7 linked regions of the Coturnix japonica genome follow. The main gene of each other region encodes a partner of the protein of the gene in region 5 in a complex. Links are inferred from orthologs where the notes say so. Each region holds a gene or a part of one and is shown on either strand. Other genes may lie near its edges.

Region 1 (3,500 bases), on a different chromosome or scaffold from region 5:
CTGATACCCTCTATCTTAGGAGATGTAGTATAAATGAGACACTTCCTGAATCAACACAGCACTGTTATCTGTCCCAGTGCAGAAGATTAGTAGAAGACTATTTGCCTCCATGTCACCTGTTGGGCACTGAAAAAAAACTTTTATGGGACAGCATATGAGGTCAAACACACCAGTGCACAAATGTGTACATTGCTACCACACAGAGAATATCAATAGGAAATATGAACTACTACTTAACTCAAGTAGATGATACTATGCAGTATTCTAGATCTGAATTTGCATCCTCTTGAATAAAAAGGTGATGCTTTTGGAGGTGCACAAGGAAAGAATGAGGTGCAACAAACTCAGATTAGAACATAAAGAATTCTAGTCAGGCATAAGGAAAAATAATTTCTTTTTTTTCTAAGTTGTCCTCAGAGATGTCCAAGAATCAAGTTTTTTAATACAGTAGTAGACTAAACCTCCAGAGGTTCAGTCCAATATGTAATCCTTGCTATTTAACAGGAGAGGCCTACACTCAAACTGTATGTCAAGTACAAATAAGCTAAGAACAAAAATTTCCCCCCACCTCTACCTGCACGCACTTTGTCCTCACTTTCCTACTTTGCGTGCACCACCAGCATTAATATAGTCCCTTCCACATCGCATCATCAGGGGAAAAAAAGGAGATAAATTTAAGTAAATCTAGAAAAAATGAGAAGTAAAAACTCCAGTTTCATTTTCCTTGCATTTCTCTTTCACAGGTTCGTTTTGGAGCAGTATAATGCACTGTCTTGGCTTACGTGTAACCCTGCCACTCAGGATCGCAGCTCCTGCCTTCCTGTCCACTTTGTGGTGCTCACTCAATTGTACAATGCCATCATGAATATACTTTAATAGATAGAAAAGCACTTGTTCTTCTGGCTTATTCTCCCCTCAACGTGAGAAACGTGCCACAGTCTGCAAAGATCACAGTTTTGCTTCTCTTCAGACCAGTCCTGTGCTGTGCTTCTGTTCCTCCAAAAGCACATGTGAATTCTGCAGTGTTGAAAACACCCATTAACATCTCTGGCAGCTTCAATCCAATTCTGGGAACATCCGAGAACAATGAACACAGAGTAACCTCAAGTCGGCGTTAGTTTGGTGGCCCAGTAACTACTGGTCAGTCTGATTTATTTTTATTTTTATTTTTTAATATTATTTTATTTTTTTAAGGAAGACTACAGTATCTTTTTGGATTAGGAACTCTGCTGAACAACCGTAAGCAGTTTCAGCCCCACAAATGAAACCATCGTGCAGTGACCGCTTTGGGCTGTCCAGAAGTTCTTTGTTCTTTGGTCATCATTAACTGGGACTTGGCAGGAAAAAAACCTACACACCATCATAGTCTCGTATGAATATTGCAATTTTCTGTCTACCTGGAGTTCCTGTCAGAGTGGATTGGGATGAATGCATGCATTTGTTACCTGTCCATGTAGATATGAATGGTCTGGAGATATTTATTTTATTTTTAGGTTTGGGGAGGGGAGGGATTAAATTATAAAGGACCAGGAACAGTAGGATATCTTAAAAACCCAGCTCCGTTCCACCTTAGGGTTATTTATCTACATACCTCTCGCTCTTCTGACCTAGAAATCGAAAAGCTAATAACAATCAGAGTCCCACGTGGGAAGGGGAGCATGTCCTGATAAGGATACACTTGTGTTTTAAGGAATTCTCACCTGCATTTAGCCTGGTTAAAGTAAGGAAAGACCAGTGTTTAATGAAGGATAACACTACCTAATGGAAGAAGAGTAACTGAGAGGTAGGGAGGAAAAATACTTTAAAGTTCTTTAAAGGGCGAAAGGAAAGTGGTAAATTAATCTATTGTAGAGCTATGATTGAAATATATTTCCAGTAAATTTAGTGATACTAGAAAACTATTTACTGAAACCCAGGTCGCCCTGTAATTCTGGGCAGACTCGTCCGTGTACATATCCAAAAATGTGCTTTTTGTTTACACGAAATCAGTTACAAATCTGGTGTATTTTTTCTGACTTATAGGAATATTATTTCAAAGAAATAATTTTAAAAAGAAAATTATATCATTAAATTAGTACTTGAAGTTCTGCCGCTGCGGTGGAAAAGTTACTTTGTTGAGTAAAATGATCGCCATTTGAAAGGTCAATGGCTAATTGAAGTATTTTTATGACTCCTTCATTCCAGGCTCCGAGGGGTTTATATTTAAGCTCCTTTTTTCTGATGTTTGCTGTTGCAGTGTGCAGCAGGCACGGGCTGCTGTGTGCGAGGGGTCGGGCACTTTGATCAGGCGCTGTGACCTATAGCTGTCTATCGGCGGGGGAAAAACCAACACGTTGTAAAAGTTCTTCCAAAAGACTTTCATGTTCTGGTGGGAAAAAATAATAATAATAATAATAATAATTAAAAAAAATGAAATTCTATGATTTTAAAAAGTATTTTTCTTGAGATAATGTAAACATTTAAAGCAAATGATATAAGAATCGCTTGTGTCATGGAAGGGTGAAGTCAGAGAAGTAACCTGTAAATGGATGATGTCGTTCTCTGCACCGAACCTCCCGTGTGGGTTATCCTCTTTGCAATGTATAGGTTAAAAAAAAAAAAAATCTGATATCAAACCATTTGTATCTAATGTGTGTACAGTGTAAAATTGACTTTAAAATATTGCAGTACTATTTTTTCTTAATCAGAAGAGAAAATTCTCAAGGCCTTTTGAAGAGCATCAAAGATGAAGATTGTAAACTTGTATAAAAAAAAAAAATTAACTTGGGGAGGAAAAATGTAAAGTAGCCATTTGTAATCTTTTACCATTTGGGGGTTATTTGTTCCCAAGATTCATCGGGACTTTGGATTATGATTGAGTTTGTTCTTTTTAAATGGGTCATTTTTTATCTAGGGGCATTTCTTCCCCAGAAACCTGGTTCTGTGCAGACATGGAAAATCCAAAAGGGCAGCGAGGAGTTAGTTTTCATCTGGTGTCTTTTATTTAATTTTTTTAAGTTAAGAGAATCTGGTGACATATTTATACGTTTTTGTGCAAAATAAATGAATGGCAATAGATTTTAAAGAAAAATCTTATGTACTTCAGTGTGAAAAGTTCTGTATAATATTTTCCTTAAATATGCATTATTTTACTTGTGAGTTTTTTACTGAATTAATCTGAAATGTACCAAGCCCTGGCTTTCCTACAGAGTGAAGAAAGTTATTTTATTTTTTCTTTTTATTTCTAACTTTGGAAATTCATGGCTAAATCAGAATTATTATTACAGTTGTTTGAGCTAAAGGGAGAGGGAGGGGGGGAGGGACGGGCGGGGAATGTCCAGCATGCTTGTATGTATATTTCAGAACTTTTTTTAAATGTCAAAGCTGTACATTTCTGGGGAGTTCTGAATTTCTTTGGGGGTTTTGGTTTTTTTTGTTTTTTTTCTTGTTTTTTTTTTTTCTTGGGTTTTTTTTTTTTTTCCTCTGAGCATTTTGCAGTGAGCTTCTTTTCTATCTAGCCG
Region 2 (3,500 bases), on a different chromosome or scaffold from region 5:
TCCTTTCAGCAAGAAAGCGAGTGTTTAACAGTTATGCCTCAGAGATGGCTTAGCAGGCTAAATAATACAAAGGGTATACTAGTTAACCTATGCACACGTGTCACTGGCTTAAATTATTGTTTTTAACCCTGTAATGGTTTCTACTTTGAAATGCTCTGGTTTTTATTTTTAGAACAGCTCCAATAGCACCATTTTTACACTGTTAAATGTCGACTTTGTGTAGACACAGCTATCTTTCTGTTAGAGTCAGCTTTCAGTAAAAGCAGTACATGGTTCTGTTTCTTAGACTGGTAAAACAGAACTCCTTAAACACTTTAATTGTTTCTCCAATACAGACAATAAAAATACTACCTTTACTTTTGCTTCAATTTGCTTATTTGCGGAGCAGGGATAATTAATTTATGGTAGAAGAGAACACACTCTGCAGAATGGCACTGATGATGTTATAATAGTGTTTCCAAACAGACTTCTGCAGTGATTGCAAGGAAAACAATGGTTGTCTTTAATAGACTTTTAAAGAGGAAGAGATCTCACTTTCTCTATTTTGCCCTGTATACTCTTTGTTTCTACCACATGGGTAACTGGCAAAATGTTTATGAATCATGTAGTCTAAAGGAGTTGTTATGCTCTCTTTGTTTTGCACAGGAGGATAGTGAATGACACGTATAGAACTGATCTTTGTCTGCTGTACCCTCCTTTCATGATAGCTCTAGGTAAGTAACACAAGTAACGTCACTGTCACCTTTAAATAGATGCCTTCTGTACTTTGTCCCATCAACAAGTTTTCCTTAGTACGCTCTCTTAAGCTTCTCCAGTTTATATTTCATACAGTACTGACAGTATAACCTTGCAACTTAGAAAGCCTTGAAGAAAAATCAGGTAATTAATCCCCAGATTTCTTCTTTGAAAACTCGCTGAGATTTTTTGCAGAGGAACTGAGGAACTCCAAACACCATAGAAAAGTACCTGACTTGGAGAGTATTTCTAAGTGTATTAAGAGATACTCAACAATGATTCACTCTTATCACCTGATCTTTGCAGCTTGCCTACACGTGGCCTGTGTTGTCCAGCAGAAGGATGCGAGGCAATGGTTTGCTGAGCTATCTGTTGATATGGAAAAGGTACTCTCTTTTTACCTCCTGCCCTCTGCTATGGACTGACTAGAAATGTTAGCAGTGGTTTGAACCTGTTTTGCATGTGTGTGATACTGATTTGAACTTCATTCAGCAATCGCATTACGGACTATTGAAATTAGGTAGGAGATAGGAAATGTCAGGTCATTTGGGTATCACTCTGCACTGAAAGACAAGACATAAGGGCAGAGCATTGCTGCTGTTGCCATTTTACAGACTGAAATAGAAAACCAGTATCTTGTTTGTTTATTTAATTTTTTTGCTAGAAGAAAAAAGAATTCCCAATATTTATTGCTCAAGATTGAACAGTATTCTAATAAACAACATATGTTTGACATGTAAGGTTATCATAGGCTTGGTGTTGAATGTGTTTGAATGTTTAAACGTTTCTGTTCCCATTACCAGTGATTACATCTAAGCTTGATTTTTTTTAAAAAAAATTAATTTTTAGATTATTATTATTATTTTTAACCTTTAACACTATGGAACTTCATAGCCAAACATAGTTTCTGGTTCAAGGATGTATATTGTTCTAGCATTTGATCAAAGTCCATAAACTGGAAAGAAGTTTACTTCATTAATTTAGTAAGTGGCGAAACAAATAATGAAGCAAACATGGTTTGATTTCTGGGTGGCACTTTGTGAAGCTGGAGTTGGACCTGATCCATGTGGGTCCCTTGCAAGTGGGGTTATTCAGTATTTATCCACCTTCTGTGTAGAATATTGCACTAGAAAATTAACAGGAAATTAATGTAGCCTCCAAACTGGTAGAGAATATTTATACTTCTGGAAATAGAGTTTGAAAATTCAACAGTTCTTATTATAAAGTATTGAGACACTTCCTAGCTCTTGATTTTTTTAATTTTATTTTTATTATTATTTTGGAAGTAAAGAATTCAGGGCACCGTTGGTTGGTTTCATTTGTTTTTAGTACTGTGCCCCCATGGCTGGTATAGAACACAGACAATAATCAGTTACTTCATTTGTAATCCGTAATCATTTAGCAACAAACACGTTGCCAAGTGTCCTTGTTTTCCCAGTAGCATCAAATATAAGCAGCCGTTCGACTTTGGGAGGAGAAATGGTTGATAAAGTGGGAGGGAAATGGAGTGGGAGAGAGAGATATTGGTTCTGTCAGGCTTCAGTTCAACAGTTAAGCCAAAAAACTCTTTGCAAAAATGGTTGATTGCCAGACCGGATTATATAGGAGACAGCTCTGTTTCTATCATGAGAATTATGCTTCTTAATTTGAGTTTGAGAAATGGATAATTAACTGTACACTGCAAATGATGATATAAATATAAAAGTCACTATTGTGATTGACCTAAAATGTACTTTCTTTCAAATCAGATTTTAGAAATAATCAGGGTTATTCTGAAGCTGTATGAGCAGTGGAAGAACTTTGATGAGAGAAAAGAGATGGCTACTATCCTTAGCAAAATGCCTAAACCAAAACCACCTCCAAACAGGTACCATACCTCCATTATTTACTGCACCTTTCATATGGGAAAAAATAAAGTATTATCTTATGTGCTATGTTAAGTTTGAGGCATAGTGTATGACTGCACTGCCGGCTTTCCTCTAAGTACCCAGTCAGACTGTTCAGGAGGAGAATATTTGCTCTTTCATGGAAAGCAGTAATGTAGTTAGAATCTGATCAATACAGTTTAAAAGGAGCAGTGTGAGGCCTGATGAAAGGGCACGATTCTTTAGAACAGTGCCTGTTTGATGTCATGTTTAATTGCTGTGATTAAATATCATTACGTGGAATCTGCACGTGCAAATTCCTATGTGTGAGCTTCTGTTATGGGAACTCTGAAACGCTGATTTCAGGAGTGAATTCAGAATGGAGTTGCATTGGAATATTTTGAAATCGCTGTTCAAATACATGAATAAATGTTTTCTGTTTGCAAAAGACAGAAATGCAGTACGGTGCTGCTGTTCTGAGACGTGTTTCTTTTCCTTTCAAACAGTGAAGGAGAACAGGGTCCAAACGGTAGCCAGAACTCTAGTTATAGCCAATCTTAAGACATTCCAAAGAACTTCTTTACGGACCACTTTGACTCAAGACATCCTGGGATCTTTCCTGTGTTCATGAAATGGACAGAATTTTTTTAATACCATCTTTGACAAAGAACTTGAAGAATAAATAGCTTGTTTGTGTCAAGCATTTTGGAAGTTTATTCTTTAAAACTGCATCATTTTCTCTGACGCTGGAGCAAATGTACTAAGATTTCTCAGTGTAAGGAATCAAATGTTAAACCAAGCTGCAGAAGGGTAACACTGTCCACTCAAAACAAGTAGTTCATTACTGGTTTGGTTTGCTTTGAGAAAATTGTGGCTTGCCATTAAAAGTGATTTTTATAT
Region 3 (4,085 bases), on a different chromosome or scaffold from region 5:
GCTCTCAAAATGCATTAGGAAAACAAGGGTTCAGCACCAGTGCTCAAACAGAGAATAGGGTTAGCAGTTCAGCTCCTATAAAAAGTGAAACTGAGGCAGTGATGTTATGATTTGATGATGATAAAAAGGAAAATTCTTGGCTCAAACACACAGCTTAATACCTCTTCCCTGAAAGTCTGACTAAGCTAATATTTAAAAGCATAAATAAATCCAGCTTTTCCTAGAGAATGTTCTTAGTTTTTGTAATATGACTCCAACTTTCAATTTTGTTCCTAGTTTTGATGGCCAAGAATTGCGTTCTTGCACTTTACTCTGGCAAACCTACGTAGTAATTTAATTCATGTGACCAAGCCTTTCTTAGGATTCTCTCCTCTGAAGTCAGTCTTGGGAGATACATCGTGTTCCAGAATAGCACTGCCAATGCGTGGGATATGTTTGATCTCTGCTTTTAGACAAAAGTCTGTATTTACTGGGGAGTGACCTGCTAATTCTGTTATAGTAATGGTAGTACTCCACAACCACTAAAACCTTGGGGAAAAAAGAAACAAAACACAAAATTATTTTATTAAGGAAAGCAATGCAGAAGTCTTTTTTTAGGTGGTCTTATAGCCTAATTTCTATTGGGGCTGGAGGGGAACAGTTACACTACATAGAAAGAGATAGCACTACAGGAAAATGCTGAGACACTGAAAATAGTTTAACAAATCACAAATTTTAAAAAAGAATTAGGATTCGTGTTGAGCCTGTATAGTGCAAACTGTTACACAAGTGCCTAATAATGCAATCATAGCAGCAATGGAACTCAGGTAGCTTGACAGTGCTAAACCCCACCAGTCTTTGTTTTAACCAAGATATGAACATCCAGTGTGTGACCCCAGACATGAATGCAGCATTAGGAATAAATCTGCAACCTAAGTGCTGAACTCTTCTCCAGGTGCAATAGCATAGTGCTGTTCTGCACCCCTGGCGCATCTGTTTAACTGGTTTCACTACGACATAACTTCTTAATAAATAAACTGCAGAGGTTGTGTGAGATCAGCTCAGCATGAGCTGCCAGGGGGAAAGGGGAAAGGGAACGGGAAAGGGGAAAAGGGAAAAAGGGAAAGGGAAAAGGGAAAAAGGAAAAGGGGAAAGGGAAGAAAGAAAAGCACACACATGCCTAGGAAAAAATCCATCCCAGAACATTGCTCCTACAGGTACCTTCCAATCGTACTGCCTGTCTGGTAACAGCTCTCTTTCAAGACAAGGGGAAAAAAAGTTGCTCCAACTTTAGTTTATTTCAAAAGGTCATTTTCTACACAACTCGCATCATTAACGCAGCTCCTCACCACCACAGACCTTCCCATCTTGCCTCGTTGCGCCTCCCGCCTAACTCCCGCCTGCCGACAGCGGGCGCTCCCGCCGCCATTTTGAGGCCGGGCGGGGAGCGGAGCCCAGCACGCCGCCATGGACGCAGGTGAGCGGCGCGGTGCGGTGCGGTTCGGGCAGGGCGAGCGACTCCGGGCCACGGAGAGCGTCGGTGGTCCTGCCGTGCAGAGTTCGGGCGGTTCGGGAGCGATGGGCCGACAGGCTCCGAATCGTTTTCCTCGGGAGGGGCCCGGGGCGGTCCTGCTGCGCTGCCCTCCCGGCTTGGCCCTTCTCAGGCCGTTGGCCCCGTTGGGGCCCTTCGCGACGTTCATGGAGACACCGCGGCTCTTACCTGCCCGGACGCCATGGCAGCGGACATCCCACGTTGCATCTGTGGTCGAGGAGCTGAATCTTTTATAGACCCCGAGTGTTTGGATGGAGGGGACTTTATTTACAGATCGGACCTCCCGCCAGAGCGGCCTGCGCGGTGCCCCTTCCAGCCTTCCCTTGTGCAGCTCCAGGGATGGGGCCCCCACAGAGAGGGGCGGCCCGTGCCGGGGCCTCACCGCCCCTCGGAGAAGAATTTCTTCCTAACATCTAACCTGAGTTTCCTATTGTTTGAGTTTAAAGCTGTTCCTTCTTGTTCTGTTGTTTTCAGTCAGGGTGGAAAGTCAACATATTTTTCTATAAGCTCCCTTTCCACGCTGAAAGACCAGAGTGAGATCTCCCTGAGCCTTCTCCAGGCTGAGCAAGCCCAGCTCCCTCACCCTTTTGTCATAGGACAGCAGAATCTTGTGCTGACCCCTGGGTCTGTCATCAGTGCCTACTGTACACCAATAGTGTGAGAACACTGCAGGATTCTCACTAAACTGAGACATCTCTGTACAAAACAAACAAAACAAAAAGCAGCCTCACGGTAAGCATTTCTTAAATTATGTGCAAGGAGGCTTTCAGTGAGCTGCTGGTAGTGTTCTTTTCTTGCCTTCTTATATTTTCCTTGCACTAAAAGCAGGCCCCTTTCCCTTCCCTTTTCATATATTCTACATAAAGTGTCAGAGAGCATTTCTCCATTATTTGCATCGTTTTTAGTTGTTAAAAAAACAAACAAACAATAGTACATGTATTAACATGGGCCCAACACTTATTCATGTAATAGAAAAGACTGCTAGATGAGCCCATACTTGTGGGCTCTTGGTGCTTTATCTCCTCTCTAAACGTTTCTATTTTTGTGGCTCAAGTTGAGAAACTTACTTTTAAATCTGCCATGTAAGTCCAGTTTTTACTGTTTTTTTTTTTTCTCTTGTATTCAGATGATACAGGAAATCGACTTAGGTTCCAGTTGGAGTTGGAGTTTGTTCAGTGCCTAGCAAATCCCAATTACCTCAACTGTGAGTACTTAATGTCAGGGATCCTGAGAAGTTAATGTTATTTAACAGTTTAATGATTACGTGTAATGGTAAACTGTGTGTGTGTGTGTGTGTGTGTGTGTGTGTGCAGAGGCGAAGGGTAAACAAAGAAAAGGGAAGAGATCTTTAAGGAAAAAAGTAGTCTGAGGATAATTTAATTTGTCCGAATTTCAAAGGTGAGGTAGAAGAGGGAGGAGATGACACCTTTAAAATGTGAAATGATTATTTCTTGAAATAAAACACAACTGTCTGGTGGAGAATAAGTGCACATCTGTAGTAGAAAATAAATAATAATAATTACATTTCAATCTTAGAAGTACTCATATCTGAAACCAACATTTCACTAATGCTTATAATAGTTTCAGGTGGAATTCTTAATTTCTTTGGTTTTCCCTGACAGTTTTGATGTCAGAAGTTCCTATTTTTGAAGACATCGCATCCTTGTTGCTGTATAAAAGTTATATGCTAACTCACTATGCTTAACTTGTATTAGAGTGTTGACTTAAGATATATTTTTCCCTTTGTGTTTTTTTTTTATTGAGTTGTAAAAAATTCCTTGTCTCTTATTTCAGTTCTTGCACAAAGAGGATACTTCAAAGACAAAGCTTTTGTAAACTATCTTAAATATTTACTGTATTGGAAAGAACCTGAATATGCAAAATACTTGAAGTAAGTATTAAAAGCCCTCAGGTTTCTGCATTTTAATGATTTTTACCTTCTCTTATGCACTGTAAAGTAGCATGTGCATATTTGATTTCTCCCTGCAGCCAAAACATGCACTGTGTTTATATGCAGTATAAATTTTCCTGTTTCCTGTAGTCTGGGATAGGCACAATTAAAGAACGTTTCATTCTTGACATATGCATGGAATTTTCCATTTGCAACCTTTATCTGCACCTTCTATCTGCATAAAGCAAGATTACTGAACATCACGGGACAAAACTACTTCAGCCCATTAAGAACATTCTGAGAGTGATTTTTGCCCTGTTGATAGCTACACAAAGAATCGTTTTTTTTCATTTTTTTAATTAATGTTTAAACTCAGTTATTGAAATTTTTTTTGTTTACTTCAAATGAGCTCTGGAAAGAGCTATTTAATTAATTAGTTTTTGTTTTAATGAAATCTAGTATTTATAAAAGTTATTTTAATCAGCTCCGTGTATGTATTTATATTGTTATTGGATTCCCTGTTTTCTAGCCTTGTAGTTACTGAAGGTATTAAGTTACAGTGTATGGAAAAGGTACAGCGCTCACTGTTTCAGGTACTTGAGTAAGGCACTAAATGACTAAAATAATGGAGAGATACTGGAGACTCCAGTTCTAGTGCACCTT
Region 4 (3,575 bases), on a different chromosome or scaffold from region 5:
TATTACAAACTATCTTTTGTTCTCGGTGTTTGACACTTATTCCCCAGGAAGAGGTGTGAATCTACTGCTTACACTGAGATAAATGAAGTCAGAAAATCACACTGTTCTGTAATACTACAGGGTTGGGGTTGTTTTGTTTTTTGTTTTATTTTATTTTTTGCTTTAATTCCTTTTAAACTTTTTTGAGGGGGAATATTTATTTTAAGATTTTTTTTTTTTAATGGAATGTACTAATTAAGGGAATTCAGTGAAATGTCATGTTAATGCAACAGATTTTGTATTAAAATTCTGTACTTGGACCAGTGAAGCAGTCTCAGGTGTTCTTAATGTAATATAGAAAACACAGGCGTGTTCTGGTTTGATTCACCTTCTGGAAGGTTGCTGTCAGCATCACCCTGTCCAGCTGATCATGGGAGGAGAACTGTTCATGTGCTTGATGATCTTCTTAGGGGGCAGAGGTGGTGGCAGATCAGTGGTTTGGCCTAGATGTGTTCGCTACAGGAATGTGGTGGAGCTTTTAAACGGGTGTCTAGCAGAGGTGCTCTTTAAAATTCAGCTTCAATGTAAGTCATATGGGTTGTCTTGTAGTGCATCACCAAATCAACATTATTGTAATGAGCTCACAAAGCTGCTGTGCAAGCATGAAGACGTACTACATGCTAGATATGCTACGACAGCATGCAAATACCATGGATGCACATCTTCCTGGAGTATTGTTAATAGCTGTCACTTTATTTGAGGAAGATCTACTTTATTTCTGTGTTCACTCAGTGAGCTTATTTAAAGTAACGCTGTACTGACAATAAACAGTGGCTCAACGTTCATTATGATGGATTTAACTGGCTGTAGAATTAACATTTTGTATTATGACTAAGTCGTGTACATTTTGGTACAGAACTTCTTTTTCAGTTTGAGTAAAATAATCCTAGATTTACTGGCTTAATTGTGATACTTTCAGATTACCTCATGATGCAGTGAAATAACCTAGCAAACAAAAGGTTAAGGAAAACTGTCCAGCATACAGTGCAGTATTAAAGACTGAAGTGGGTCTGTGATACCAGCACTTCTCACCTGGTATTGCAGAAGCCGTTACATTAAAAAAATCCCTTTACAAGTACATCAAAGTAAGAGGAGAACCAAGGAAAATGCCCAACCTTTACTTGATGCAGCGGGGAACGTGATCACTGAGGAGAAGGCTGGGATTCTCTGAGGAGGAGAAGGCTGAGTTCCTCGATGCCTTCTTTACATCTGCCTTTAAGGGGCAGTGCTGTGTGCTTGGGGATGAATAACTGGATGTCTGTGAGGAGGAAAGGGAGCTGGTCGATGTTCGGCTGCTCCTCACCGCCAGGCCGCACTGTGGCGCCCGCCTCCTCCTTCAGGCCTTGCCTTTCTTCCCGCCGCCATCTTTACCACAGCCGCCAAGATGGAGGCGCCTCCCGTCACCATGATGCCCGTTACGGGCGGCACTATTAACATGATGGAGTACCTGCTGCAAGGTATGGCCGGCACACAGGGGCTGTACACGGGGCTCGGCCGCAGCGTGGGGCCGAGGCGGGCGGCGAAGGGGAGGTACCTCCCCGCGGAGGCCCCTTCGCCGCCTGCCTCGGCCCCGCGCTGCGGCGGGGAAGGGGCCATCGTCTGAGCCGTGTGTGTCCACCACAGGGAGCGTCCTGGACCAGAGCCTGGAGAGCCTGCTGCACCGCCTGCGTGGGCTGTGCGACAACATGGAGCCGGAGACCTTCCTGGACCACGAGATGGTGTTCCTGCTCAAGGGGCAGCAGGCCAGCCCCTTCGTGCTGCGTGCCCGGCGATCCATGGATAAAAGCGGCATGCCATGGCACCTGAGGTACCTGGGGCAGCCGGAGATCGGAGATAAAAACCGACACGCTTTAGTGCGAAATTGTGTGGACATCGCCACCTCGGACAACCTGACGGATTTCCTGGTGGAGATGGGGTTCCGTATGGATCACGAGTTCGTGGCTAAGGGACACGTGTTCCGAAAGGGGATCATGAAGATTGTGGTGTATAAGATCTTCCGTATCTTGATGCCTGGTAACACGGACAGCATCGAGCCGCTTTCCCTCTCCTACCTTGTAGAGCTTAATGTTGTGGCACCAGCCGGACAGGATATGGTTTCTGATGATATGAGGAACTTTGCAGAGCAGCTGAAGCCTTTAGTACACCTGGAAAAAATTGACCCTAAGAGGTTAATGTGATGAAAACTGGCTTGACTATCATAGCATTGCTGTAGCCAGAAGTGAGTGCAGGGACTGGTTGGAGTCCTATGCACACAGAACTTTTGTTCAGGGCTCCACTGCTTCCTCTCTGTGCTGGAGCAGTAAGCAGTATTAAGGTGCAACACTTATAAATAGAGATATTGACTTTATGTTGTTGGGGAGCAAGGGGTAAAAGGCTTTGATGTATTGGTTTTGTTTTTGTTTGATGCTCAGCCAGCATTTGGTATTTGGTTATGCAGGTTACATATATGCATAAGAGCAGAATGTATGTAATTCCCAGAGATGGAAGAGAATAAAAGTCTGTTTAGTGCATTATTCATTGGATAGTCGGTCCCTGATGTCTGAAAGGAGTAGTTGCAGGAATTGCTTAGTTTTAGATTTGAAAGACCTGAAAGATTCCCTCCTAGCAAATCCAGACTGGGAGCTGTTTGTTATTGGAAGCAGCTTTGTTGTTAGTGTAGAACAGGAAGCTCTGGGTCTGCAATTATAACCTGGGGGGAAGAAACAGAATTAAGACCCTTCACAGCCAATATGTTGGCTCAGAAAGTTGAGCCCAGTGCCCCCGAATGTGCCTGTAGAGAGTCAGGTGGATGGGGCCAGGCTTTGACTGTTGTTGCCCAGTGTTGGGACACAGGAAGGTCCATCTCAAAGTGAGGAATTACTGCTTCATTTGGGGGTGACGTGGAGCAGGCTGCACAGAGAGGCTCCTTCCTGCTTACAGCCACTTCCATCAGCCCAGCACGATGCATTAGTTTCACAAAAGCAAGGTCAGGCATCCCACTATTTCTGTGTTTTTGTGCTCTTTGTATGTTTTATTAAAAATATATCTTCAAAAATACCCGTCAGCTATTTGCATTAATTTTGTATTTTCTTTGCAATTCTTTTTCACTCAATACAAGCCAGTATTTTGGGCAAACATGAAGTAGTCTTCATTTCTCAAGATCATTATGGAAACGTACAACCACGCTGCCTTTTACTAAAACACACCAATTGCTGTCAGTCGCTGTCATGCTTTAACAGCACGAATGTTGCTGTATCTCCAGCACTCCTCAGCCCTGGGTCTCCATTCTCCCCACACACTCTCCCCTAATGTTGTTATTTCTGTACAAATGAACACAGAAGCTGAAGTACAACTTTGGAAGCACTCTATATTGTCTAACATGCTTCTGATATGCGAGTGCAGGGTGAGACGTTTCACACATCAACAGCTTATGTGGATATTCCAGCTTTCACTTCAGCAACCTCGGTAACACAGTCAAGCTGCTTTCTGCTAAGTGCTTTACATACACTGTAGTGTATGTGTATGAAGCGGCATACAGCTTCAGACACAACCCAAGG
Region 5 (4,126 bases):
ACTGTTTTTCGGGTGGGAGATACTCAGTAGTTTCACCAACGTTAACATGAAAAGTGAAGGTAAGCCTGTGGAGAGCAAGTTAGTGGCTTTTAATTACACTTTTTGGGCAGAGTCTAGAAGAGCTTCAGCAGCGATCAGTGACAGTGCCCTGTCTCTGTGGGATGCCTTACCATGTGAGTCGATCGTACTCATTCTCCAGCTTGTAGATAAAACTGACCAATGAGTTCTTCAGGTCAGCCACCTGGCTGATGAGTGCCTCCAGGGTCAGCTCCAGCTGCTTCTCCTCTCTCTGAAAAAAAGAATGAAAGATAGGGGTGAGGACAAAGCTTTGTACCTTTCCAAGGACTGTGGGGATCCATACATCTGCAACCATATTCCACCCTCTCCTATGGAGAGACTCCTCTTCAAGGCAAGGAAACAGAGACCACGTAGATAAAAATCCTACATTTTCACACTTATCTTGTCTCCTTGTAAGAAACATTTAGGAAGAGACTCGTACCTGAGCCAACCCATGGCTAGCTGTCATTTTTAAGATCTAGATAAGTAAAGCCTATACATCACTTGCATCAGGCAAAGTCATCAAAGTTACCTTGCACCACCTCCGTGAGTTATTCATGCTAACCCAGCTGAAAGCAGATTAGCATTCTCAGCACCCTTTGACAGCAGGCACAGTGATGTCTTCACCCAGCACAGCCATTTGCAAAACAAGTATCAGATCAGTGGCCCAAAGACTCCAGTTTCTGCCCTTACCCTCATCTCTCACTTTCTTCCTGTCCAGGTGCTGCATCCAGCTCCTAAAAATTCCTTGTCCCTTACCAGCTGTGGAAGGCGCTGCAGTGTCAGTGACGTAGTTAGACACATGCAGAGATCACCTGCTGCCTTTTGCCTTGGTGCACTGCTTAAATAATCTTCTCCCCTAGCTGAGAGGAGTATGGTGACATACAAAGCAATAGGAGAGGAGACCTGTTGTCACATATAGCACAGAATATCTCCGACTCTTGCGAAAACCCTCTAGAACCTTATCTATTCTTACTCATTCAACAGAATTGCACAAAATGTAATTAAAGCCCCAATCCTAATGGACTGCTAATGTAAGTCAAGGACTGTACAACAATAATCCACGAGGAGGGTGAGACACAGCAATACAGTTAAATAATAGAAAGGGAATGCTGATTGGGAAAGCAGATGGGGTGACTCAGTCTGCTTGCACGCTCACTATTGGGATCCTTGTGCTGTTTAAACAAACTGAAACTAGCATGAGATCATCAAGTATCTTCCACATTTAAGAGAACATGAAATTATTCTACTCACGGTCTGACAAGACTATAAAGGTTTTGTTTTTTTTTCCATAGACTGCTGATAAGACTTCACTACCTTAGAAGAAATGGCAAAATAAATGTGGCTAAAATCCACTTCCAATCCACAGCATGGATTAACAGAGCAAACCACGGGGTTACAACTCACAGCTACAGCACTGCAGCTCTCCGCCATCCTGTGATGGGACTAGTCTGTTCCTGTGCACTTAAGAAACAAGTCTAACGCTGACTGTGCACGTTGTGTTTGAGCAAGATGAACCACTGACAGCACTACGAGTTGGGCTGGGAGCCAGTATCTCACTGCAGAGGTGGCAGGTACACACAACCAAGACAACTGGTGTGGCCCATTGCCAGCGCGTATCCAAGAAGCCCTAAAGATTGTGAATGAAATCACACTACACTGTGTGACAGTGCAGTCTGAGCCTCCTCCTTTTGTGTGCTCTCTCCATGAGAGCTGGAAGTAAGTTTAAGCACCGCAAAGCACACGTGCACCAAGATCAATGATTCAAAGAAATACTCTGCCTCTCACAGACATATACAAGCAGCAATTCAAGGAGTCTGTTAACAATACTGAATTGTCCCAGGGTAATAAAATAGGATTTACGGGAGAGACTGCTGAAGGAACTCCTGATAATGAATGACTGGGAGGTAAAGGTGAAATTCAGAATAAACATAAAGCAATACACACAATGAAACAAAGAGAAATAAACAACCCTGACTTTACACACACACAATGACATTCTCTGAGCTGATAACATTATCACTCACAAACAAGATCTGAGGATTATCCGAGGGTAACCCAGGGAAACATCAGCCTGAGGCTCAAGAAGTCGAGGAAATCAAAGTAATAATGGGATTTATTAGGAAAGCAAGGGATCCTGTCACTGTTACCTGGGAGAGGAGGCCGACCTCCACCCCATTGTAAATATTTGGAGAGTTTAAGGGAGTCATGGGGTCCCTCTGAGCCTCCTTTTATCCAGACTGAACCATCCCAGCTCCCCCAGCTGCTCTCTGTAATGCCTCCACCCCTCACTTTCCCTGTCGCAATCTCTGGACACGCTCAGGTCTCAATGCCCTTCTTGCTTAAGGGGCCCAGAACAGAACGCAGCACTCGAGATGCGGCCTCAACCAATGTCAGCACAGAGGGACGCCCACCACCCCGCTCCTATAGGATACACTGAGCCTCCACGAGCCAAGATACCATAGACCTTCTCGAACAACTGGGCACACTGCTTTACTCCTCCAAAGCCCGGCCCACGGGGCACAGCGGAACCCCATACGGGCCTACTGCTCCCTCTAGCCTAGCCTAGCCTAGCCTAGCCTAGCCCAGCCCAGCCCAGCCCAGCCCAGCCCAGCCCAGCCCAATACAGCCCTGCTCAACCCCATACAGCCCCTCACCTGCATGGCTGCGCGGCCCTGTTGTTATGGCAGCCTTCCACTTCCGAGTCAGGTCAGAGGGCGCGGGGCGGGGCCGCCGGGCAAACATGGCGGCTGCCGAGAGGCCCGAGGCTGAGGTGAGGGGTAACGCGCTGCGGGGCGAGGGGAGGCGGGGTTGTTTGCGGCTTTGAGACCGGGAACTGTGTAGAGAGGTCGGGGGTTGTGGTGGTGCCCGGCCTGGAGTGACGAGGCGCTGTGCTTCTGCTGCAGGTGGAGGAGGCTGGGCACGTCTTCCTGTTGATGAAGAAGGACTATCGCATCTCCCGCAACGTGCGGCTCGCCTGGGTGCTCAGCCGGCTGCACCAGGTCATCTGGGCTGTGCCCGAGCCCGAGCTGGTGAGTGGGGGCCGGGGGTGCTGCAGGGTGGATGGTGGCCCTGCATCTCGGCGTGTCCTTTGGCTTGGAGTAATGTTTCATGCTTGTCGTTCGCTTCTTGTTGTAGTTGAAGTCAGAAAACGAGCTGGATGTGCTCAGCATCCTGCCCAACGGATGGCAGCCGGATGAGCCCGTCCAGCCCCGGCCCTACCTCTTGGTGCCCTCCACGCGCGTTACGTTCCTGGCCCGCCAGTACCGCTTTGTCATTGAGCTCGATCTGAGCCCTTCCACTGGCATCGTGGTGAGTCCAGGAGCTGCCTCTCTGGGGTGTTTTGTGTTAAAGGACCAGGCTTGGTTCCCTCTGCTGAGAACATGTGTGTCCCTGCATTAGTGGTCACTCCTGCAGGGGTCCTGTGTTCCTGAGGGCTGAAGCAGGCACTGCTGCTGGCAACACAGCCTTGCAGTGGATCCTGTTTCCTTGCAGAATGTGTGACCTCTGCTTGCAGGGGTCGTTCTGAGGCAGCTGCTGTTGCAGAAATAGGCTTGTACTTGTCTCTGTGTGGTGGGTGCAATGAGATTGCAGATTCCAGAAGATGTAAAAGCTGTTTTGTTTACCCCATGCAGTGCTGCTGATTTAGGGGCTGTGGCTGAGAGCTTTATGGAGGGAGAGGATCTAGGAGTGTTAGCTGACAGCTGGCTGAACATGGGCCAGCAGTGTGCCCAGGTCTCCAAGAAGGCATCCTGGCTTGTATCAGAACTAGTGTGGTCAGAAGGACTGAGGAGGTGTTCAAAAGCTGTGGAGATGTGAGGTGCAGTTAGTGGGTGTGGTGGGAATGGGTTGATGGTTGGACAAGGTAATCTTAGCTATAATGATTCTATAATTCTCCTCTTCTGTTTCTGTAGGATGACTCAACAGGAGAGATCATTTTTGATGAAGTGTTTCATGCTCTTTCCCGATGCTTAGTGGGATTGTTAAGGCCCTTCCGAATCCCTGGTTCAGACATTATTTATCAGCCCGAGATCTTTGTCACCATCCAGGCGTACTCCTCCATCATTGG
Region 6 (3,500 bases), on a different chromosome or scaffold from region 5:
AGTCCCTGTGACTACAAGCAGCAGGCATTGCATTGCTCCTTTCCTCCTGTGGAAGGAGCTCAACAGTTTTCTGACATATCTTGACATGATGGCGCTGATGCATGTTACTGTTTTTGATTGTGACACTGCTGCCATGTCTGAGACAGACTGCTGCAACTGCAGACTACTCCTACTAACATCTAACTGTAGCTCCAAAACGCAGCCTGCTGAGATTCCACAAAACACCACAGTCACAGAACTAAGAGTGGGAGGTACTTGCATCCTGTTTCAAATGTATTATAGTACTTAAACAACTTTCAACGTACATTGAAGGAAAAAAAAATCTGTGATTACAACTAAACATGGTAACCATCACTTACCACAGATGAAGTTGATTCTGATTTCTCTGTGGCACAGCAGCCAAGGAGTGAAGATTGCTGAGCAGCTGGACTCGGTAGTGAGGCTGGATGTGATGCATTCGATAGCTAAACATTTCTAGCAGAGTGTGCAGAATTCCCCAGGCGTGAGATTTGAACACAGTTGGCAAGAGCTGACCTTAGGAAAAAGTTCATAAAATATGTTTTCCAAGAGATTGTGCTTCAAAATGTAACTGCAAGATACACCACTGCTGACAGATGGTTACAGTGAGACATTTGATTTGTGAGTGTTGTATTAATTACAAATAGCACATACACGCAGTGTTCTATGATGCCATGCATGTATAGAGCTCAATCTTCCAAATGAACATTAACAGCTGATATCTGTATTATAAGGAGTTAAACTGAATATAATTTCTTCCCAATTTAGAACCTTTGCTTAAGATTATTTTATTATTATTATTATTTTTTAAATACAGAACAGCTTGTACGTGCTACTGAACTAAAGGAGCAGGGAAGGGTTGAGGTGAGGGAGTTTATTTTTTTCTTACTGATAAAGCCTTTGATGCCCAAGGACTCTATTTCCATATAAACCAGCAAGCGACTGTAGGTTTCCACAAGAGCAGGAGCCAAGGCCACACTAGATTTTGCATGAGCCAGCTTAATAACCCTTGTAGCTATGCTATGGATCAAACTGAGGAAGAGAAAATATTTTTCAGTCAAAAACAAACACATACAAGTTACAATGTTTAAGACATAAAGCAAGAGATCTATACATAGCATTTTCAAGCACAGGAATATTTCCATACTGTAAATTAATTACATAAGGATTCACTTGTTGTAAAGCCGTATTTGTATAATTGTATGTTTGTATAATTGTATACTCTACCTCATTTTGGCATGAACTGTGAGCGAGTCCAAGAGGTTCATTGGCAAGGGGGTTATAGACCCTGATGCCATGCAATTAGTTCCTGGAAGAGATATCCTCATGTTGCCATTTCCGTAAATAGTCTCTACCAGGACACCCATTGGCAAAGTGAAACACTCTGAATTGGTTGAATAAGCATTGCACAACAAGGCAATCTTGTAGTCATTCATCTGTAAACTTTTGTTTCTTAAACTCTGTTGCAAAAACCTAGAGTACCAAAAACACATCAAACATTAAGTAGAAAGAAGCAAGTACATGTATGATTCAAGGACTAGAACCACAATAATTCCAGTTAAAAAATCCATTTTAAAATAATGGGAAAAAGTATTTATCAACTGCACTGCATCAAATAACTAGAGCTGCCACAACTCTAATCATTGTTTAGAAAAATCTGCTCAGGCTGCATTTTCTTCTGAAAGGAAAGGAAAATACACTTCAAAAATGACTTTTTCAGAAAAAACATGTAATGTACCACACATTCCAACACATTGCATAATAAAACAAAGTAATCAGTTTTCTTTCTGAATCTCCATCAGAATTTAAGAGTTATCCCTTTTAGATGTAATCTAATTTCCTTTAACGTATAATGATTTCTTTATGTAGTATTTCTACTTCAAGATCTCAGTTCTGCTTTAATTATTTAATCACCCTCATACAACATCTCAGCACACAATGCCTTCTGAACATAGACTCAAAGATTCTTACTCCATTATGTCTACAAACAAACCAAAATGTAACAAAAAAAACAACAGAACTCACTCATGGTGAAGCTTAAGAGAATGAGGAATGGGAATCTGTAACTTGGAGTTGTCACTATGTGCCTTCCGATTCAGATGAATCCAAATACAGGTCATAGCAAAAGCATGAGTGGACTGGGGTTTGTTAATATCAGGTACAGGAATACACTGAAGAAGAGAACAATCAAAGTGATGATGTTGAGTGTACTGATATACAGAAAAACAACATAGCCAGTATTCACAAAGTACCACATAAACTTGAAGAAAGCCCATCACTACAGTTAAAGTAACCAATGCAGTCACTCTTCTCATAGTTTGCGCTAATGAAACACTTGTGAGGTCACGAAACAATTTGTACTACAGAATTTCTGTCAGTCAAAAAACTTTGCTAGGAGTAAAAAAACAGTACATTCAACCTTATCAGTTTGGTATATCACACATTTATGTTAACTTATCTACTGACCCAAAACAGAAGACACTGTAAAAGCAAACAATGAGGATATCTTGATGATATAACTGTTGTGGTGGAGGTTTAATAACTTCCTCTAACTCTCCCCTACCTCAACAACCTTCATTCTAGAACATACCAAGCACAACTAGGAACTGATTTAAGATTACAGAAAGAATTTTAGGCAGTCATTAATACTAAACAAATTTAAAGTGCCTTGTTCATTTTACTTGCACCTAAAAGTATCTGATAATATATTCTCAGATGTAACAATGAATCTGTATACTATTCCTCCATAGTATATTCTCAGGGCTCTAACAAACACCTTCTCAAAACCTTAGTCAAACAAAACTTAGGGAACACATGACTTTAAGACTTTGGTTGTGTTTGTTGTTGTTTTGAAGTTAAAAAAAAAACACAAAACAACTAAAACACTGCTCATGGTTATTGAAAAAACACAGCTGGAAGCACTGGAAATCTTTCATTTAATTATATGCATCTCCAACTACACAGCACATTGACGCAATATCAACTGAAGAACAATAATAATATCTGTGTACAAAGGTGTCACGCTGAATAATAATAAAAGAGAAGACTTACTTCTTTCTCGGGATAAAGAAGGTCAAAAAGCTTCATGACTGGGAGGAAGTCAGCCAGTGCGTTCTTCTGGATGCTGCCAGAGATGAATTGCAGTAGCACCCACATCAGATGGTCTCTTCCTTTAATGAGGCCACGGCCTGCCAACTGTCAAAAACACTCAATAACAGACAAATGCTGAAGGCAAAAAAAAAAAAAATCACTGCAAAGATACCGTTAAAAGAGGAAGCTAAAATGGTTCCAGTTTTCAGAGGTTATCATAGAATCATAGAATTACCCAGGCTGGAAAACACCTTAAAGGTCATCTAGTCCAACCGCAGCCTAACCAGTACCCTAACTCTAAAAGCCCTACACTAATCATATCCCTGAGCACCACATCCAAATGGCTCTTAAACACATCCAGGGATGGTGATTCAACCACCTCCCTGGGGAGC
Region 7 (3,500 bases), on a different chromosome or scaffold from region 5:
GAGGTGCAATGTAAATCCTTTGGAAACAACCCTGAAAACCTTTGGAAGAATAATCATTCCAACAGGGCACATAAGACTATCTGCTGCAAACAACCCATTCCTAACAGCTGCAGCCCAGGAGAACTGCAATGACTATCAGTTCTGACCACCTCCACAACACAGGTCAGAGAACCCTAACAGAAGCCCAGCTATCACAGCACGTATCTCCTGCCTTTCAGGCTGATGAACTGATTCCCCAGGGAACACTTCAGCACTGTGCTTACCTGGATGGCAAAGTCGATAAGACCACTGATATTGAGTGAATACTCCATCAAGTCAAAGATGAACTGCACATGCTGTACCAGAGGCAGGTGGTAGGACATGCCCAAGGCAAAGCTGGTGATCTGTTCCAAGACATTGCGGGATACCTGCAAGTGTAAGGTGACACATTGTGCTATCTCCCCTTGCAGAAGCCCCTCAGCAGCCCCAACACCTCTTCCCTGCAGGAAGCTGTCCTCAGTAACACAAAGAGATTCAGTCAGGGCCCAAAGAGGACAGCAGTCTTGAAGGTTTCATACCTGAGATGTGACTTGGTGCTGATCAAAGTGAGAAAGGTGCTGGAACTTTGCAAAGATATCTTCAGCTGTTGGGAATGCTTCTGGCTTGCTCTTTTTCCTCTTCTGGCCTTCCTCTCCACCTACAAAAATTGAGAGGACTAGAAAATAGTATCAGGCTACCTTCCTCATCAGAAGAGGAATAGAAAACAGTCATCAGCACATGCCAGGCCCTCAGCAAGACCAGACACTGCCAAGCAGCATGGCCAAAGAACCTGATCCTCCACCTGTAAGCTGATAAGGACCATTATGAATTCACAACAATAAACTGTCAAGGGAAGAATTTCTAGCCAAAGAATGACAGCACAGTTAACATCTAGCTTATCCTGAGTGAAGGGGGAAAATATATTCCCCCCCATTTAGAAGAAACACTGACTCCCTGGTGAGAACAGTTGTTCTGGACTGGAGATGGCTCAGCCCAGAAGCCTGTTAGAGCATGCCACCTTTGAAGAATCACACCATGTTTCAAGTTGGCTTTCAAGAATCAGGCCAACAAAAAGAAAAAAAAAATCCTGAAGCCAGATTCTCAATCAATAGAAATTAGAGGTTTCCTAGCAGTATTGACACAACTATCCAAACCTGCCACCCTAACCAGCATGCTTAGCATAACAGCACACACTACACTGAATCAGGGTATTTGCCTAACATTCACAGGCAAAGCTCCCGCTGCTTTTGTGCAAAGATTTAAATGGTAGAGCTTAAGAAAATAAAGTTTGAAAATGCCACGATTTTCGCCAGGGTCTCACTCTGAAACTGACATGACTTAAGCACCTACCGAAGAAGGTAGATTCAATGGAACACATCTAGGCAGGAGGAAACAAATCTTATTCGCTGCTCATTATTATTTGAGAACAGAGCACCATCCCAGACAGTCAGTGACTGATACAGCCAACCAGGCACTGCAGATCATATGAAATCCTTTCATTGTGAGACTCCAGACAAAGGAGGCAGTCAACTGGAAAGACTGGCTCAAGCAATACTGACCTGTCTCTGCAGTACTCTTTCTGTTTAAAACTTTTAGGATGTCTTTGGTTATTTTCTTGATTGTATGCCGAGCATCGTCCCGTTGTTTTCCAACCCCAAAAAGAACTACCAACCGTTGGTTACATTCATGACTGCATGATTCCTCCTGGGGAACCAAGAGAAAGAACTGCATTAGCAACTATCAAGCTGAATACTTTAATCTTGTTTCACATCTGGATCTCATAAAAGCAAAGAGAAAGCTTCATCTCAGAAGCTGCTCTGGGAGTAAGCAAAGAGGTGTCTTAAGTAGATCACTCTCCTGCAGCAATGCAGAAAAACATGACTGCACTCCTCACCCACCCACAGTAACAGAACAGAAAGAGATCAGGTTCAACTCTGTTCAGTCAGGTTCATGCTTACAGTAGTGCTGCAGGGAAACACAGCAGCCTGGTTATCAGAGCACAAGGCAGCAGCAGGAAAAGGGTTACGAGCAGGTCTCATACCTGAGGAATAGGAAAGTGTGTTGCATACTGGATGTGTCGAGGCTGGTCATACAGAGATGCTAGCATTCCTTCTGCAGACTTGTCCTTCAGCAGAGGCTTTGCTTCCTTTTCAAGATCTGGTTTCTCAGGGGAAGGGCTGGCTTTAGATTCACAATGCATTGGAGGAGAAAACATCTAGGAAGGTGCAAGAACAACAAATCAGTTAGGGAACGTGGTCATGCCATAATTAAGACAGGTGAAAGAAGCCAAGAAGAACTTTTCACAGTGTCTGCTACCTTACAAGTTAGACACTTCCAACATATCAGCTCTACAGTAGAGAGGGAGAACCCACACATGTCCCTGGTGCTAGCACAACATAATCTACTTATGAGTAGCAGGCAAAACAGCAAGCACATACCGAAAAATCTGTTTTCTCCATGTCATCAAAGATCGTGCTGGAATTGTGGTCAATGTCCATAGGCTCAGAGAGACCCGTGTCCTGAGAACAGACAGAGCAGCTTTACATCTCAATAATACACCAGGAAACAAGACAAGACTCATTTACTGCAGCACCCCACTTCCATGTTGGACAGTGACAGCAGTTTGCCAACAAGGATGATGCCTGGCAAACGAAACTCAGCCAGAATCACATATGCTGCAAACACCTGACAACACAGACTGGCCTTGCATAGCACTTGATATGCTGCTCAGAGTAAGATTTTCCTGTCTACCCTGTTACATTCTGCAAGACCTTTCTACCCACTTAGAACACAAGCCTCTACTTTTGCAACTGAAGTGCTAAGGAAATAGCTTGGGGAAATGAGAAACATGAGTCACTGGTCCATCTTCCAGCAAGTAATAGCAAGGAGTCTGCAAAGCTGGTATGAGTGGAGAAGCAGAACAAGAGGAAGCACATAAAAGAGCTGCGTATCTTGTATTCTCACCTCTAGCTTGATCCCACTGTTTCCTTCTGTCTCCTTCCTGTCATGCTCCTCAGCAGGGTCATCAAAGGGTGAGGGAGGACGAGGTCCATGAGAATCCATGGCAAGATCACCCCGGGAGATGAGTGTGCACATGTAGATATTGTGAGAGAAGACATCATGTCGGATTAGCTCACAGAACAGCAGCACCAGGTTAAAAAACTCCACCTTCTCATTCTCCTTCCCAGGATCAGCTGAAAGGAGAGCAAAGACAGACAGTGCTATCAGAGTTCCTCCGTAACACTAAGAGCAGCAGCAGATACCACACCTACACCCACAGAGAAAGCATTTCTAGAGATCTCAATACTCTAAGTGACTGATACACAGTTCTGAGACTGCAGCAGAAGTCAGAACCAGAAAGCCCACCTTCAACAGGTGGCAAATAAAGAAGTGAAAATCTTTCCATTTAGAGGTACAGGATTTTAGACTGAAAGTGCCATCCCTGGGTATACAAACACACAGTTCCCCGCATCATTCAGAAT

Evidence for each region.
Region 1: MED8 (region 5) and MED13L share a complex: the UniProt entries of both Homo sapiens proteins name them as parts of the mediator complex. The link is inferred for Coturnix japonica from reciprocal best matches to the Homo sapiens genes MED8 and MED13L.
Region 2: MED8 (region 5) and CCNC share a complex: the UniProt entries of both Homo sapiens proteins name them as parts of the mediator complex. The link is inferred for Coturnix japonica from reciprocal best matches to the Homo sapiens genes MED8 and CCNC.
Region 3: MED8 (region 5) and MED31 share a complex: the UniProt entries of both Homo sapiens proteins name them as parts of the mediator complex. The link is inferred for Coturnix japonica from reciprocal best matches to the Homo sapiens genes MED8 and MED31.
Region 4: MED8 (region 5) and MED18 share a complex: the UniProt entries of both Homo sapiens proteins name them as parts of the mediator complex. The link is inferred for Coturnix japonica from reciprocal best matches to the Homo sapiens genes MED8 and MED18.
Region 6: MED8 (region 5) and MED23 share a complex: the UniProt entries of both Homo sapiens proteins name them as parts of the mediator complex. The link is inferred for Coturnix japonica from reciprocal best matches to the Homo sapiens genes MED8 and MED23.
Region 7: MED8 (region 5) and MED12 share a complex: the UniProt entries of both Homo sapiens proteins name them as parts of the mediator complex. The link is inferred for Coturnix japonica from reciprocal best matches to the Homo sapiens genes MED8 and MED12.

What each region holds. Positions count from the first base shown.
Region 1 is NC_029530.1:10,498,891-10,502,390, forward strand, and holds part of MED13L (mediator of RNA polymerase II transcription subunit 13-like), read left to right. Parts: intron 1-743; coding exon 744-876; 3' UTR 877-3,500. UniProt on the Homo sapiens protein: Component of the Mediator complex, a coactivator involved in the regulated transcription of nearly all RNA polymerase II-dependent genes.
Region 2 is NC_029518.1:64,955,311-64,958,810, forward strand, and holds part of CCNC (cyclin-C), read left to right. Parts: intron 1-645; coding exon 646-713; intron 714-1,041; coding exon 1,042-1,121; intron 1,122-2,483; coding exon 2,484-2,602; intron 2,603-3,106; coding exon 3,107-3,161; 3' UTR 3,162-3,500. UniProt on the Homo sapiens protein: Component of the Mediator complex, a coactivator involved in regulated gene transcription of nearly all RNA polymerase II-dependent genes.
Region 3 is NC_029534.1:8,576,507-8,580,591, forward strand, and holds the start of MED31 (mediator of RNA polymerase II transcription subunit 31), read left to right. Parts: upstream 1-1,285; 5' UTR 1,286-1,446; coding exon 1,447-1,456; intron 1,457-2,657; coding exon 2,658-2,735; intron 2,736-3,325; coding exon 3,326-3,422; intron 3,423-4,085. UniProt on the Homo sapiens protein: Component of the Mediator complex, a coactivator involved in the regulated transcription of nearly all RNA polymerase II-dependent genes.
Region 4 is NC_029547.1:21,930,463-21,934,037, reverse strand, and holds MED18 (mediator of RNA polymerase II transcription subunit 18), read left to right. Parts: upstream 1-1,310; 5' UTR 1,311-1,423; coding exon 1,424-1,496; intron 1,497-1,662; coding exon 1,663-2,216; 3' UTR 2,217-3,075; downstream 3,076-3,575. UniProt on the Homo sapiens protein: Component of the Mediator complex, a coactivator involved in the regulated transcription of nearly all RNA polymerase II-dependent genes.
Region 5 is NC_029523.1:17,388,685-17,392,810, forward strand, and holds the start of MED8 (mediator of RNA polymerase II transcription subunit 8), read right to left. Parts: upstream 2,801-4,126; 5' UTR 2,721-2,800; coding exon 2,715-2,720; intron 775-2,714; exon of another isoform or gene 757-774; coding exon of another isoform or gene 751-756; intron 290-750; coding exon 171-289; intron 1-170. Other genes in the region: KICSTOR complex protein SZT2, read left to right, coding at 2,801-2,830, 2,964-3,089, 3,196-3,369, 3,972-4,126. UniProt on the Homo sapiens protein: Component of the Mediator complex, a coactivator involved in the regulated transcription of nearly all RNA polymerase II-dependent genes.
Region 6 is NC_029518.1:51,936,080-51,939,579, reverse strand, and holds part of MED23 (mediator of RNA polymerase II transcription subunit 23), read right to left. Parts: intron 3,214-3,500; coding exon 3,070-3,213; intron 2,190-3,069; coding exon 2,044-2,189; intron 1,492-2,043; coding exon 1,246-1,491; intron 1,051-1,245; coding exon 908-1,050; intron 535-907; coding exon 360-534; intron 1-359. UniProt on the Homo sapiens protein: Required for transcriptional activation subsequent to the assembly of the pre-initiation complex. Component of the Mediator complex, a coactivator involved in the regulated transcription of nearly all RNA polymerase II-dependent genes.
Region 7 is NC_029519.1:2,315,195-2,318,694, forward strand, and holds part of MED12 (mediator of RNA polymerase II transcription subunit 12), read right to left. Parts: intron 3,213-3,500; coding exon 2,983-3,212; intron 2,538-2,982; coding exon 2,457-2,537; intron 2,234-2,456; coding exon 2,060-2,233; intron 1,723-2,059; coding exon 1,578-1,722; intron 677-1,577; coding exon 558-676; intron 408-557; coding exon 264-407; intron 1-263. UniProt on the Homo sapiens protein: Component of the Mediator complex, a coactivator involved in the regulated transcription of nearly all RNA polymerase II-dependent genes.